Linked DNA regions of Caenorhabditis elegans. The protein of the gene in region 1 purifies or fractionates together with the protein of each later gene. This does not show direct contact. Each region holds a gene or a part of one and is shown on either strand. Other genes may lie near its edges.

The links.
Region 2: the proteins of hacd-1 (region 1) and mam-3 fractionate together in Caenorhabditis elegans (co-fractionation; one large-scale study listed by BioGRID). This does not show direct contact.

What each region holds. Positions count from the first base shown.
Region 1 is NC_003283.11:1,457,868-1,463,493, forward strand, and holds hacd-1 (3-hydroxyacyl-CoA dehydrogenase), read left to right. Parts: upstream 1-2,501; 5' UTR 2,502-2,520; coding exon 2,521-2,793; intron 2,794-2,915; coding exon 2,916-3,019; intron 3,020-3,065; coding exon 3,066-3,472; intron 3,473-3,527; coding exon 3,528-3,643; 3' UTR 3,644-3,746; downstream 3,747-5,626. Other genes in the region: fpn-1.2 (Solute carrier family 40 member), read right to left, coding at 4,196-4,515, 5,013-5,626.
Region 2 is NC_003282.8:13,441,056-13,447,885, reverse strand, and holds the start of mam-3 (MAM domain-containing protein), read left to right. Parts: upstream 1-2,510; 5' UTR 2,511-2,619; coding exon 2,620-2,761; intron 2,762-3,480; coding exon 3,481-3,608; intron 3,609-4,039; exon of another isoform or gene 4,040-4,141; intron 4,142-4,384; exon of another isoform or gene 4,385-4,502; intron 4,503-4,570; coding exon 4,571-4,737; intron 4,738-5,125; coding exon 5,126-5,388; intron 5,389-5,627; coding exon 5,628-5,809; intron 5,810-6,830. Other genes in the region: uso-1 (Uso1_p115_head domain-containing protein), read left to right, coding at 1-594, 1,018-1,161, 1,711-1,854.

The DNA of each region.
Region 1 (5,626 bases):
AGATTCACTTCTAAATAACACTAGACTTAATTATCTATCTTTCATTCCGAGGACTAAATGGACCAATATATGCTTCAATCACTCCTATAGCCAATTGTTAAAAAGTACAAAATAGTGTGGTTACAAAATTCTCAATTATAACATTTCCCCATGACTGAAAAAATTAAACTTTTTTTAAATTTTGACTGCACATGATGTGCACTTATCGTAAACATAAACAATGCACCCGTTCCATTCTCAGCGGCTTCGCAGGAATCAAAAACTCGGACGCCCTATTTAATTGGCCTCAACAATTGTGTTTAGCTACAGTAGTTTTTCCGGAATAGTTATACTAAATTTATAATTATTTAAAACAAGAGTGTGGAAGCATCTACTTGACAGTATATATTAACCATTACTTTAAGCTATGGATGGTGTAGAATAAACTCCAGAAGGAATGGTGTAAAAAGCTGATTCTATAGTTACTCGTTTTTCTAAAGAACCGCGGGGGCCTGGGATGTCAGAGTTATGTTGCATTAAGGTGACAAGTTGGTGACATGCTACCATAAATATAAAATCTTAGAATTGTCCGAAAAAGTTTTGTGGATAATTCGAAAAAAAGTACAAAAACTTATGGGACGACCTGATACAAAGGCACAAAGCACATTTTTGAATAGTTAACAAGCGCTCAGTCATGATGGTATCGTTTGAATTGGAATTAAAAGTTTTGAAGTGGCCTAGAAAAAGCGAAAACTAGGCCAAACCTCAAAAATGGTATTAATTCAAACATGTGATTAAGAAGCAAGTTTCAAAGTGTCACTGGGGTTTCTTTAAAAATTAGAAAACCCTCGGTAATTAACAACGAATGGGATCATTAGCAGAAATTTTTTTTTTAATCTGTGGTTAACTCGGCCACCCATATTTTTTGAGGCCGGCCACGGGCCGAACTTTATCTTACAGTTTAATGAAGTCAAAGGCAGAGTAGCGCCAATGGGAAAGTTTTGCAAACCTTTCCTATGATGCCAAAATGGCCAATGTGGCAGTTACTGAATTTTTGCCACTTTTTGAGAAATTTATAGCATTGTCGCTTGTTCGAATACTAATATAAAATTCAAACTTATTTTTGATTGACGACGTATAAAAAAACGAATTAATCGAGTTAAAAACTTCTCGAAAAAATTTTGGCACTTTTTTTTGTGCAGTAAAAAAGTAGTGAAATCTCAGCAATTTTAAGTGCAAAAATATATTATAAAATAGAAGTTTTTCAAGTAGGAACTCCAAGTCTAATTTTGGAACAAATAATTTCAAATTTTTGAGAATGTCGTGTAAAATTTTAACTTGTTGAATGCATTCATAGTGTAATTAATCAAAAAAAAATCGTTCAGTTTTAAGCCACCATAGGTGTTTTAAAAAATTGCATTGCCTCTTGGAAAAAAAAAACATATTGTTCAGTTTTTAATTATTTGTTCTACTAAAACAACATAGTCTCATTGATTCTTGAGTCTAGTTTCCATTGGAACTACTACAACAAATGTAACCAATTGAAATTGTCATCCCGATGGAAATTGCTCCCAATTGTTCAATGTTTTCCGATCTTCTTCTGCAACGTTTTCAAAGCAACTACTACTACAACAACGATGTCAGCTGACTTTTGGAGTACTTTTAGTCATCAAAAAAAAAAGTCTTGAACCATATAAACAAGATGACAAATAGATCAGAAGCTCCGCCCCACGTTTGGGGCAATCGCCATAACCGAAGAACCAACAGTCTCCGGAACCGAAAAACGGGAAACTCCCCCTTTTTCAAAGCACTCATGATTTTTTCTGGAGTCTTATCAGCAACTTTTAGAGCAACACGTTATCTTTGTAAAACAGCCCACTCTCCTGTTCACATGCCATTTTTTGTGTATAAAAAGACGACTATTCCTCTAGTTCTTCGATACTTTTGTAATAAAATTGTCTAGTTTGTGAAAAATAGTTTGCAATCATTTAATTTCGTTCATTTTTAACCTTTTTTGTTAACCACTTTTTAAAATCGAATTTTTAAGGTTCGGCCAATTTTTTGTTGACAAATCCGGCAATTCGGCAAACTTCCCGTTTGCCGATTAAACTTTCGTTTCCGGCAAAAAATTTCCCGTTTTTTCTAGATATTTTTAAAGAATTATAATTCTATAGCGCACTTTTGAAAATAGATGTAGGGGCATTCAGACAATTTTGCCGTTTTTATCGGCAAATTCGGCAAATTGGCAATTTACCGGTTTGCCGATTTGTCGGAAATTTTCAATTTTGGCAATTTGTGGATTCGCCGGAAATTTTCATTTCCGGCACAATGCCGATTTGCCGAATTGCCGGACTTTTGAGCTTCAGAAGCTCAATGGCTTTTTCCACTTGACCGCGAAAATAGAAAATTAAAAAAAAACCGTTTTTGACAATTTATTTATCATTGCATAAAAAATTGCTCGACTTTTATCCTTTTTATCAAAACATCCATCATTTTTCTTAATTCAACATTTCTCTTTTCAGAAATTTTCCCCCACAAAACATGGTGCAATCCGGAAACGAAAACCCAAAGCCCCTGGTGGCAATTTTTGGCGCCGGAATGATGGGAAGCGGCATCGCACAGGTCTGTCTTCAGGCAGGCTATCCCGTCAATTTGTACGGTAGAAGCGAGAAGAAGCTTTTGGAGGCCAGAGAGACTATCAAGAAAAATCTAATTCGTGTCGCTAGCAAGAAGAAGACCGACGTTCCGATGGAACCAGCAGCCTTGGAGGAAATTGCTCAGATTCAACTTGATTTGCTCCAGATTCATACTGATGTAAGTCTTAAGTTTAAGCTTAGGCTTAAGCTTAGGCTTAAGCTTAGGCTAAGACTGAGGCTTATGCTACACCTTAGGCTGTCTACACCCGGTCTATAAAATCTGGAAGTAAAATATTTCAGATTCCGTCCGCTGCCGAAGATGCTGCAATGGCGATTGAGGCTGTGGCCGAAAACTTGGATCTGAAACTTGACATCTTCCAGACAATTCAGAAAACTTGCCCACAGTGAGCATTAAATTTTTTTAAAACATTTTTATAATTTTTTTTTCAGAAACTGCATGCTTATCACGAACACCTCGTCTCTAAAACTGTCTCAAATGCTCCCAGTTATTCAGAACCCGGCACTATTCGCTGGGCTTCATTTCTTCAACCCTGTTCCAGTGATGAAGCTTGTAGAAGTTGTATCAACTGATGAAACTTCTCCAGAGACCACAAATTTCTTGTTCAACTTCTGCAAAGAAATCAAAAAGCTGCCGGTCGCCGCGAAGGATACTCCTGGATTCATTGTCAACCGGCTATTGATCCCATATCTTATGGACTCCATTCGCATGCTGGAACGTGGAGATGCAACTAAAGAAGATATCGATACAGCCATGCGATTTGGAACTTCTTACCCAATGGGACCAATTGAATTGTGTGACTATGTTGGACTTGATGTTCTGCAGAGCACTTTGAAAAGTGAGATTTACCAACTCCTTTTCTAGGTTTTATTGAACCCTTTCTAATCTTTCAGTCTTCCGCGAAACCATCCCTGGTGACGCCCGTTTTGCACCAATCCCACTTATGGACAAATTGGTCGCTGAAGGAAAGCTTGGCAGAAAAACGAAGCAGGGATTCTACACGTATTGAACACTTTTTGAGCATATTTTTTGTGTACACTACTTGCCAGCTTTTTGATGTATATTTTGCTTCTTACAGGTCATAGTTTCAGAGAAATAAATATTTACATTTGAAGTTTTTGATAATCTAGAATTTTTGTAATAATGTCCATAACATGGAAAATGTCTAAATTGGCACATTGAAGTAATTCCCAAGTTGAAGTAAGTTGTCTCAGGAAAAGTACACTACCGAACTGGTGCAACTCTATATTTACTAAAAATAAATTTCTGGAACAGTTTTTTGGTATTTTTCAAATAAGCTAATATATTTTCTTTGTAATATTCAAGAGCGTATCTATTAAATTTATGTTTTCAAATGTAAATTAGAAATTCTTAAATATTGCCAAAAAATAATTTAAAACAATTTTTTGAAAAACGATTCAAAGATTATTCACAATAAGATTATTGAAAAATATATGATAAGACGTTTGTAAAGTTTAGTTTCAGATCAATAATAAAAATTGTTATATTTTGCTCATGAATTATTTATTTGCTTATAAAAAAATCTTTTAGATAAATTCATCTATAACCTCTCAAATTCTTCTTTCTCTTCTTTTTCCTCCTTCTCTGGTAGTTGTGACAATTTCCTGCCAACCGTTGATAAGCTATTGGTTTTCACCAAGTAATAAATAAAGAACATATGACCACAAGAGACGAACCCGTAAGAAATAAATATACAAATTGCAAAAGTTGCCGGTAATGGGAGAATAATGACTAGAACATCTTTTAAAACGGAGAACGTTTGGCACAACGCGTTGTGCATTCCGAATACTGTATTTCGTTCTCGTTCTGGGATGGTGACTTGCATTATGTGAGTGATAGCCAGATCCAGGCACCACAATCCTGAAAATTGATTATTAAAATTAATTTTTAAAAAATTCCTGATTTTTTTGACATTTCCTAATATGTATTAGTTAAAACTTGAAATTTGACCGGCTTTTCAAGCGGCTGGAAACAATTTTTTTTTTGTAATTACTGTCAAATTTTGAGTACAAAATGTAATTATGTTGCGTTTTCAACTTGAGATTTTTAATTTTTTTAAACCAAAACTTGCCGTCCATCGACTTTAAAATACCTATATGAAGTTAAAACACAAGATAATTACATTGTATACTTAAATTTTGACCATGGTTTCAAAAAAAGATAGTTTCCAGCCGCTTGACAAGTCGGTCAAATTTTCAATTTTAACTAATCTTAGCCCATTTTTTGAGCCGTCATAACTTTTTTTTGAGAATTTTTCAAGGAGTTTCATTATAAAATTAGGAGTTTTCAGACAATTTTGAGCCTGATAAGGTAATAAAAAATTCGACTACACCACCTTAAAAAAAACCCAAACTCACCATATCTTGCGGATGCAATCGCAATCAAGAACACAAAGATGCTGGCCAAACTGACACCATCAGACGAAAAGTGCTTCCAATCAACATGTGGGTCCAAGTTTGTAGCGTTATTCCCGTCGAAAGAGTGAACCATATCGTGCCACCAAGTTCCCATAGTGAAGTTTCCAAAGTATCCACCAAGGTTCATAGGAGATCCCGGGAGGAACACGGATATAACTGCTAGAACCGCAAAAAACTGCTGAACAACCAATCCCAGTAGTCCTGAAGTGGCGACACTGTATCGCTTTTCGAAGAATGCGTAGGAAAACGCTCCAAGGATCGCAGTCACGGATCCATAGGATCTGAATGCTCCGATAACAAATTCCGGAAGCCCTACACTTGAGCCATATCCTACAGCTAATCCATCAAATCCCATCACTGTCATGAATAGAAGACTCATTCCAAATGCAGCTGGGAATGAGATCTGGCACCAGTACGTGTAAACCACAGATTCTTTGAGCCTTGAATTGGCGAATGGGTCTAGCGCTTCATCTTTCTTGTCTTTCTTCACTTGAAGCAGAGGATTGGAGATGTAGATTGCTCTAAGGAAAATGGTTTTTGAAGCCATTGAAACA
Region 2 (6,830 bases), on another chromosome or scaffold:
ATTCTGTCCGCATTGGAGGGACTTTCAAGAACCGAGCAATTTGTTAGAGCAGCACAAAAGCAGCAGCCGACAAATGAGCTTTTCCTCGATTTCCACTTTGTTAAACTTTTCAAATCTCTCGAAGGAACGTTGGCTAAGCAATTGAAACCGAATGGAGAATTTAATGGAACTAGCAATGATAGCATCATTCAATCATATAAAGAACTCATAAAACGGCAAGATGGTGATATTGCCCAATTGAAGCAAGACAATAAGCGAATGAGTCTTGAGATTGAGAAATTAAATGCAGAAGTTCAGAATAAGCAAATGGAACGAGAAGTTGAGAATCTTCGTGTGAGATTAGAAGAATCTGAAGCATTTAAAACTCAAAATGAAGTGCTGAATAGTCAGCTAGTAGAGTCACAGAGACTCACACAACAATGGTATGCAGAAGCCGAACGATACAAGCAATGGGCTCAACAATGGCAAGCCTATCAGTTGGCACAGCTTCCGAATGGTGTAGAGACGGGATTGGCTCAGCTTCAGCAACAAGTCAACGAGTTGGAGCAGCAACTCGGATTTGGATATCAGGCATTCGAACAGCAATCACAAACGGTATGGTAGACAGGAGATTTTATCAGAAAATCGAAAAATCGAAAATTTTCGTTTTTTCGAAAAAAAAATTTGTCGATTTTTCAAAAATTAGCTTAAAATTTTGGTCAGGGTTCTTCTTTTTTTGATGAAAATATTTATTTTTTTTCTCATCAATAAAACAAAAATTTGATTTTGTAAAATCATATTTTGTGGTTAATTTTCGGAAATTTTTTTCGATTTTCCGGAAAATCGAAAAATCGAAAAATGACACAATTGGATCAAAAAACTAAACATTTAAATCTGCGAAAATCAAAAAAAACCAAAAAACAATTCGATGCTTAAATTTATTCGAAAAATTTTTTTTCGGCTTCCGTTTGGTCTAAAATAAAAAAAATAACCAAAAAAAAATAAAATAACCATAAAAATAAAATTTACATATTTCAGATGCTCCACTATACATCAGAGAATGCAAATCTTAAAGATAGACTCGCGAAAACGGAAGCTGCTCTCGCTGAAGCCAATTATAAAATTGAGCAATTGAATTTGAAGCCAATTTCGAATGGAATAGTTGTGGAGCACGAACCACAGGTAGAATTCGAGTGGAATTTTCGAAATTTCAGGAATTTCTAGAAAAAACACTGAAAAAGTATAATTTTATTGGAAAAGATGGAAAATCTTACCAAAATTATCGATTTTTTCATTAAAAAATCGAAAAAATGTGTAAAATTTCAGTTTTTCGAAACCTTGATTTTTTAACAGATTTCTTTTTTTTAAGAAGGAAAAAATATATATATATATAAAAATAGTTATATATTTGAGGTTAATTTGAGCAAAACTTGATAAAATTTCAATTTTTTTTTTGAAAAAAGCTGAAAAAATAATAAAAAATTCTAAAAATATCAAACACTTAAAATATAATTTTTCTATGAAAAAATTAATTATTTCGTTTTTCAAAAAACTACTTTTAAATTTTGGTTCGATTTTTTCTGAAGAAATTATTTTTTGCTACAGATTTTTCATCCACTTTTTCATTTTTTTTTCAATTTTCTCTGGAAAAAAACTAAAATAAAAACGTTTCGATGAGTAGCTTTTGAGCTTTATCTCAGTGAAAATAATTCAAACATTTCAAATTTTCAGGCTGACTCCGAAGAGTTTTCAAAACTGAAACAAGAACAAGAAGAACTTCTGATGCTTCTCGCTGATCAACACAATAAAATGTCAGCCTACCGACGCCTTCTTCGAAACCTAAAACAGCCAGTGACAGATGATGAGGACGAGTAATAAGGCTGTGGGATTACTAAAAATCGGGTTTCTTTTTTGTTTTCTTTGGGGGGTCAATCTTGTCATAGAACATGTAATACTTCCAATCAACTTTTCTTTTTTTAAATCGAATAGGTTTCCTGTATAATATTTAATTTATAACGCATACACCGTACTTTCGCAGGATTTTTTAAGTGTCTTCTTAAAGGCGCACAGGTTTTTTTCAGATATGTTTCGGCTTTCTTGTTTTTTTTTCTCAAACTGATTTAAAACAATTTTTAACTTATGTGATAAATGCAAAGAAAATAAACAAAATTAAATACCATAAAAATTTTTTTGGGCTCGCCGAGACCCATAAAACCGTGCGCCTTTAAGAAGACATCTCAGAGATCTTGTAAATCTACGATATCGTATTCGCCGTGATTTTGCTGGCAAAATATTTTCTTCCTGTTTTTTTTGTATCCCTACCTACTCTTTCCATTTCGTTCAAACCACACTGTCTTCTGTGATACCGAAATTATGTTTTTTTTTTCCTTTCAATTTTATTTATGTAAAACTTAATAGTAAATATGGTCCAAATAAATTATTGATTGATTCCGAAATCCATCATTCTCTCTCTCAGGTTGAATGGGGATTCGGTGAATGATCAAATGATATAACGAACCCGTCTATTCTCCATATCAATAGTGATTCGGAAGCCGGTTCGTTCCTCTCGCCTGCTTCTCCTGGCCCGCGCATCTGCCATTGTTCTTCGCCTGTACACACCCTTTTTGCCTCTCGAAAATAATGATCTGGAAGAAATTTGCACTTTTGCTCATTTTTCTACCATCTCTAGAAGCATGTCATGCTCAATTTCAAAAAGAGCTTCGATATTTAGACTTGTATCTTGGTATTAGGCCAGATAATAATGGAGAGATTCCTGTGGAAGGTTGGTTTTTTGGTTTTTTGAAGGAATTTACTGTTTTTTGCTCCGAACGAAAAAAGTCTAAATTTTCGATTTTTTGGAAAAATTCAATTTTTTTTCAATAATTTATGGCCACATCCCGATTTTTTAAAAATGTTTTTTTCAACATTTTCCAGTTTTTTTTGGATTTACTCTGAATTTTGACGAGATTTTTTTTTCCAAAAATTTAAGCTTTATCGGAAATTTACTTGATTTTGTAGTTCCTTATTAAAGGCGCACGGAATTAAAAGTTCGCGGTAGTTTAATTTTTATTTAAACTTTGAAAACTGATTGTCAACGATTTATTACAGCTGAAAACCATGTGATTTCATTGAAAAAAAATACAATACTACATCCAATGAACAAATAAAACTACCATAAACTTTTTTGCGCGCCGAGGCCCGTCTGAATAATTCCGTGAGCTTTTAATGAAGTACTTCAAAATCTACAGTAGTACAGTAGTAGTAAAATTACGGTATTTTATCCAGATTTCGCTAATATTTCGCTAATTTCTGTAACAAAAGTATGTAACAACAATAAATCAGCCGATTTTTACTTTCATAAAAAATCTGGTTTTAGATTCGTTCTTAAAAATTAGTGATAAATAAGCAATTTTAATGTGAAGTGTTTTTTTGTTTTTAAACAGCTAAAATTATCAAACCACGAGGATCTGCAAAAAAAAACCACAATCACGTGGATTTCAGAGGCCGTTGGATTTGCCACGTATATTGAGTCACCTGATGAACTCAACTGTGACTTTGAGACCGAATGTCTTTGGAGAAATGCGCCGACTGATAAGCTTTTGGATACCAGTGATTGGTGGTATTTTAAGGTTTGTTATTCATGAAAAACTTTCCTTCAAATGTCTTGTGCCATTCTATTCTTTTTTTGGAATATAAAACCTTTTCTGAGTGGGTCTTGTCACGATCTCAGTTATAGATTTCGCTGAATACAAACTTTGAATGTGGTATAATTGTTCAATTAGAAATAAAAATGTATGTGAAATTCCATATCCTACGCTATATGTAGGCCAGGGTATAATATACAATATTTAGCTTTCAGTTTTGAGACGAATAATATGTAAAAGATACCAACTAATTTTGGCAACTAATTGGTTTTATGAACTAGTTTTAACTGAAAGTTTCAAAAAAAAAACATTTCAAAAACTCGATTGAAAGTGGCAACATTTCGAGAATTTATTCAGACAATTCAATTATACAGTTCAACTTTAGAACCATTGGAAAGTTCACCAAAAATTATAGAAAAAATTTGGAACGCTTCACGAATTTGCGTGTCATCCTTGCGCAGGGGCCATGCTAATCTTCTCTGTATTGTTCCAATTTTAGTATATGTTCTCGGAAGAACGAACAGTTAGATTTACATTTCAATTATATAGGGACCATTTACACAGCAGCTGACATATTTGGAGTTATGTAAGACACTATGACTATGCTAGGGAAGTGGAGATGCAAATCGATATTGGTATCGCTATAGAATAGGTGCACAAATTATTGATCTACATCTACATTTGGTATAGTGTCTTACATAACTCCAAATATGCCAGCTGCATTGTTAATGGTCCCTATATAATTGAAATGTAAATCTAAATGTTTGTTCTTCCGAGAACATATACTAAAATTGGAACAATACAGAGAAGATTAGCATGGCCCCTGCGCAAGGATGACACGCAAATTCGTGAAGCGTTCCAAATTTTTTGACGATTTTGTTAGACAAATCTATAAATTCTATACTTACAATTTTTCAAAACTTTTTTAAAAAATTAAACAATTTCAGAAAAATGACGAGAAAACTTTCCCAGTTCAAATCCAGCCCGGAAATCCTGTAATTCCAAAAGGCGAACATTTTATAATTGCTGGAAATACGACGAAAAATCCGAATGGAGCAGTGTTGAGCAGTGCTCCAATTGCTTGTCAAAAAGGATTTGCCAACTTGACTTTCAGGTATTGTCAAAGATAATTTTAAGAATTTTAAGCACAAAGTTGGAGGGCCTAAATTTTTTTTGAAATAAAATGTGTTTGCTCTTCTTTGAAAGCTTAGATCTCTACTGTCTTTGCATTTTTTTTAATATGTAAAAAACGAACTAAGCGTTCTTCTATGATTCAATAGTTTGAAAAATGCTGATATAAAAAAAAAAAATCGAAATTTTTAGTAATCTTTATATGACGCACAATTTCTCGTTTTTACTACAAAAATATTGCTATTTAATATTTTCATATTAGATTTGAGTTGCCTGAGTAAAAGCTCACAAAGTATGCGATCGGCAAAATACTGTGCTCTAACTAACATAGATTCCAAAATAAAATTATAATCCCAGTTATATCCTTCTAGCTTCTGGCTATACAACAATGCTCAAGTGGAAGTTATCATCCTTCGAGCAATGAATCGTAGACGTCATCTTCAAGTCTTGCTCAGACCAAAAATGAAGTGTGATTTCTTGGGAGCCGCCAATGAGGAATGTCGTGTCGAGATTCCGCCGATTAAGGAACCGTTCAGAATTGGAATTCGAGCATTTGATCTCAAAGATAATACTGTTGGAAGTTTGGCAATCATTGATCATATCAGATATCACGGAAAGATTTGCCAGCAATCACGTAAGTTTTAAAGTTATTCGAGATATGAAGCAGTCAAAATCAAATTGGCGCGCAAAAAAAACGATATTTTTAATCCTTTTTTAAAAGATTTTGTTCTGTAAATTTTTCAAAATAAAACTAGATTTGTTAGAGAAGTTTTAAACTTTCACTGAACATCCAGAAAAATCCAATGCCTCACTCTTCATAATCTAACAAAATATCTCAATCACTCCCATTTTACCTAAAATTAATTATTCCAGCATTCCCATCATCATTCTCATCTCTTCGTATTCCTCCATATGATAATAGTCCACTTCAAAGAATGTCTGATTTGAGTTGTGAACGCCCGCTACGATCCTGTCGATGGGGAAATATGGCCAAATCTCAATTAAGTGAATGGAGAGTTGGTAGATCAATTGATCGATGGGTTGATATGTTTGAGGTTTGTTTTAATTAAATCTTGGAAATAAGATAATTTTTTAAACAACATTTTGAAGCATTGATATCTTCAAGCGAAATATGGGATCGAACCACTAAAGTTAATTACCGTATTTCCTCTATTATGGGGTTATTCAAGTAGTGTCGGAAAATTAAAAAGTGTAGAAAAATTACGTCACACATGTATTCAAGTAAATAAAAACATGTATTTAAATACATTTGTGACGTCACAAATGTATTTAAATACATTTCGCTACATTACTTGAATAACCCCATTAGTACTTCACCCCATTGTTCAACTTTCACAGCTTATATCTCAGTCATCGTTTGTCCTATTAAAAAATTGTCAACTAACAAAATATTTTTTAACTTTATTTCTATCATTTCGTAGTTAATAATACATTGATATCTTCAAAATGAACCGAGTTCAAAGTTAAGTAGTGGGGTGCAATACTAATAGAGGGAATACGGTAAAAACAAATTTTCGTCAGTATGTCAATAATTTAAAACCCATCCAAAGTGCAGAAAAGTGATGAAAAATGAGTTGTATGAAGCATTAGACAGGTATTCATCTCTATGAAGTGGCCTTTTTAACTGTTTGTTAAAAAATAATTGGGCAATCCACACGTTTTGAAAATTTCAACAGCTGAATACTCTCGGCCGACAAACTTTCTTCATACGTTCTTGGAATATTTCCAAAACTTCTACTAATAAAACTTTTGACTTCTTCTATTTAAATGTTTTGCAACAATATAGGCTTATTTGGCAGCTTCAGAAGTTTCAATCCGGAGACTTGCCAAAGTTGGCTGAAACAATGAACTCAAAAAATTTGGAATTTTGAAATTAAGAAGGATTATAAAAATTGTTCTATGTATAAATACACCTTTTCTTGAAACTTAATAATGGGGTTATTCAAGTAGTGTCGGAAAATTAAAAAGTGTAGAAAAATTACACGTCACAACCTTATTCAAGTATATAAAAACATGTATTTAAATACATTTTGCTACATTACTTGAATAACCCCA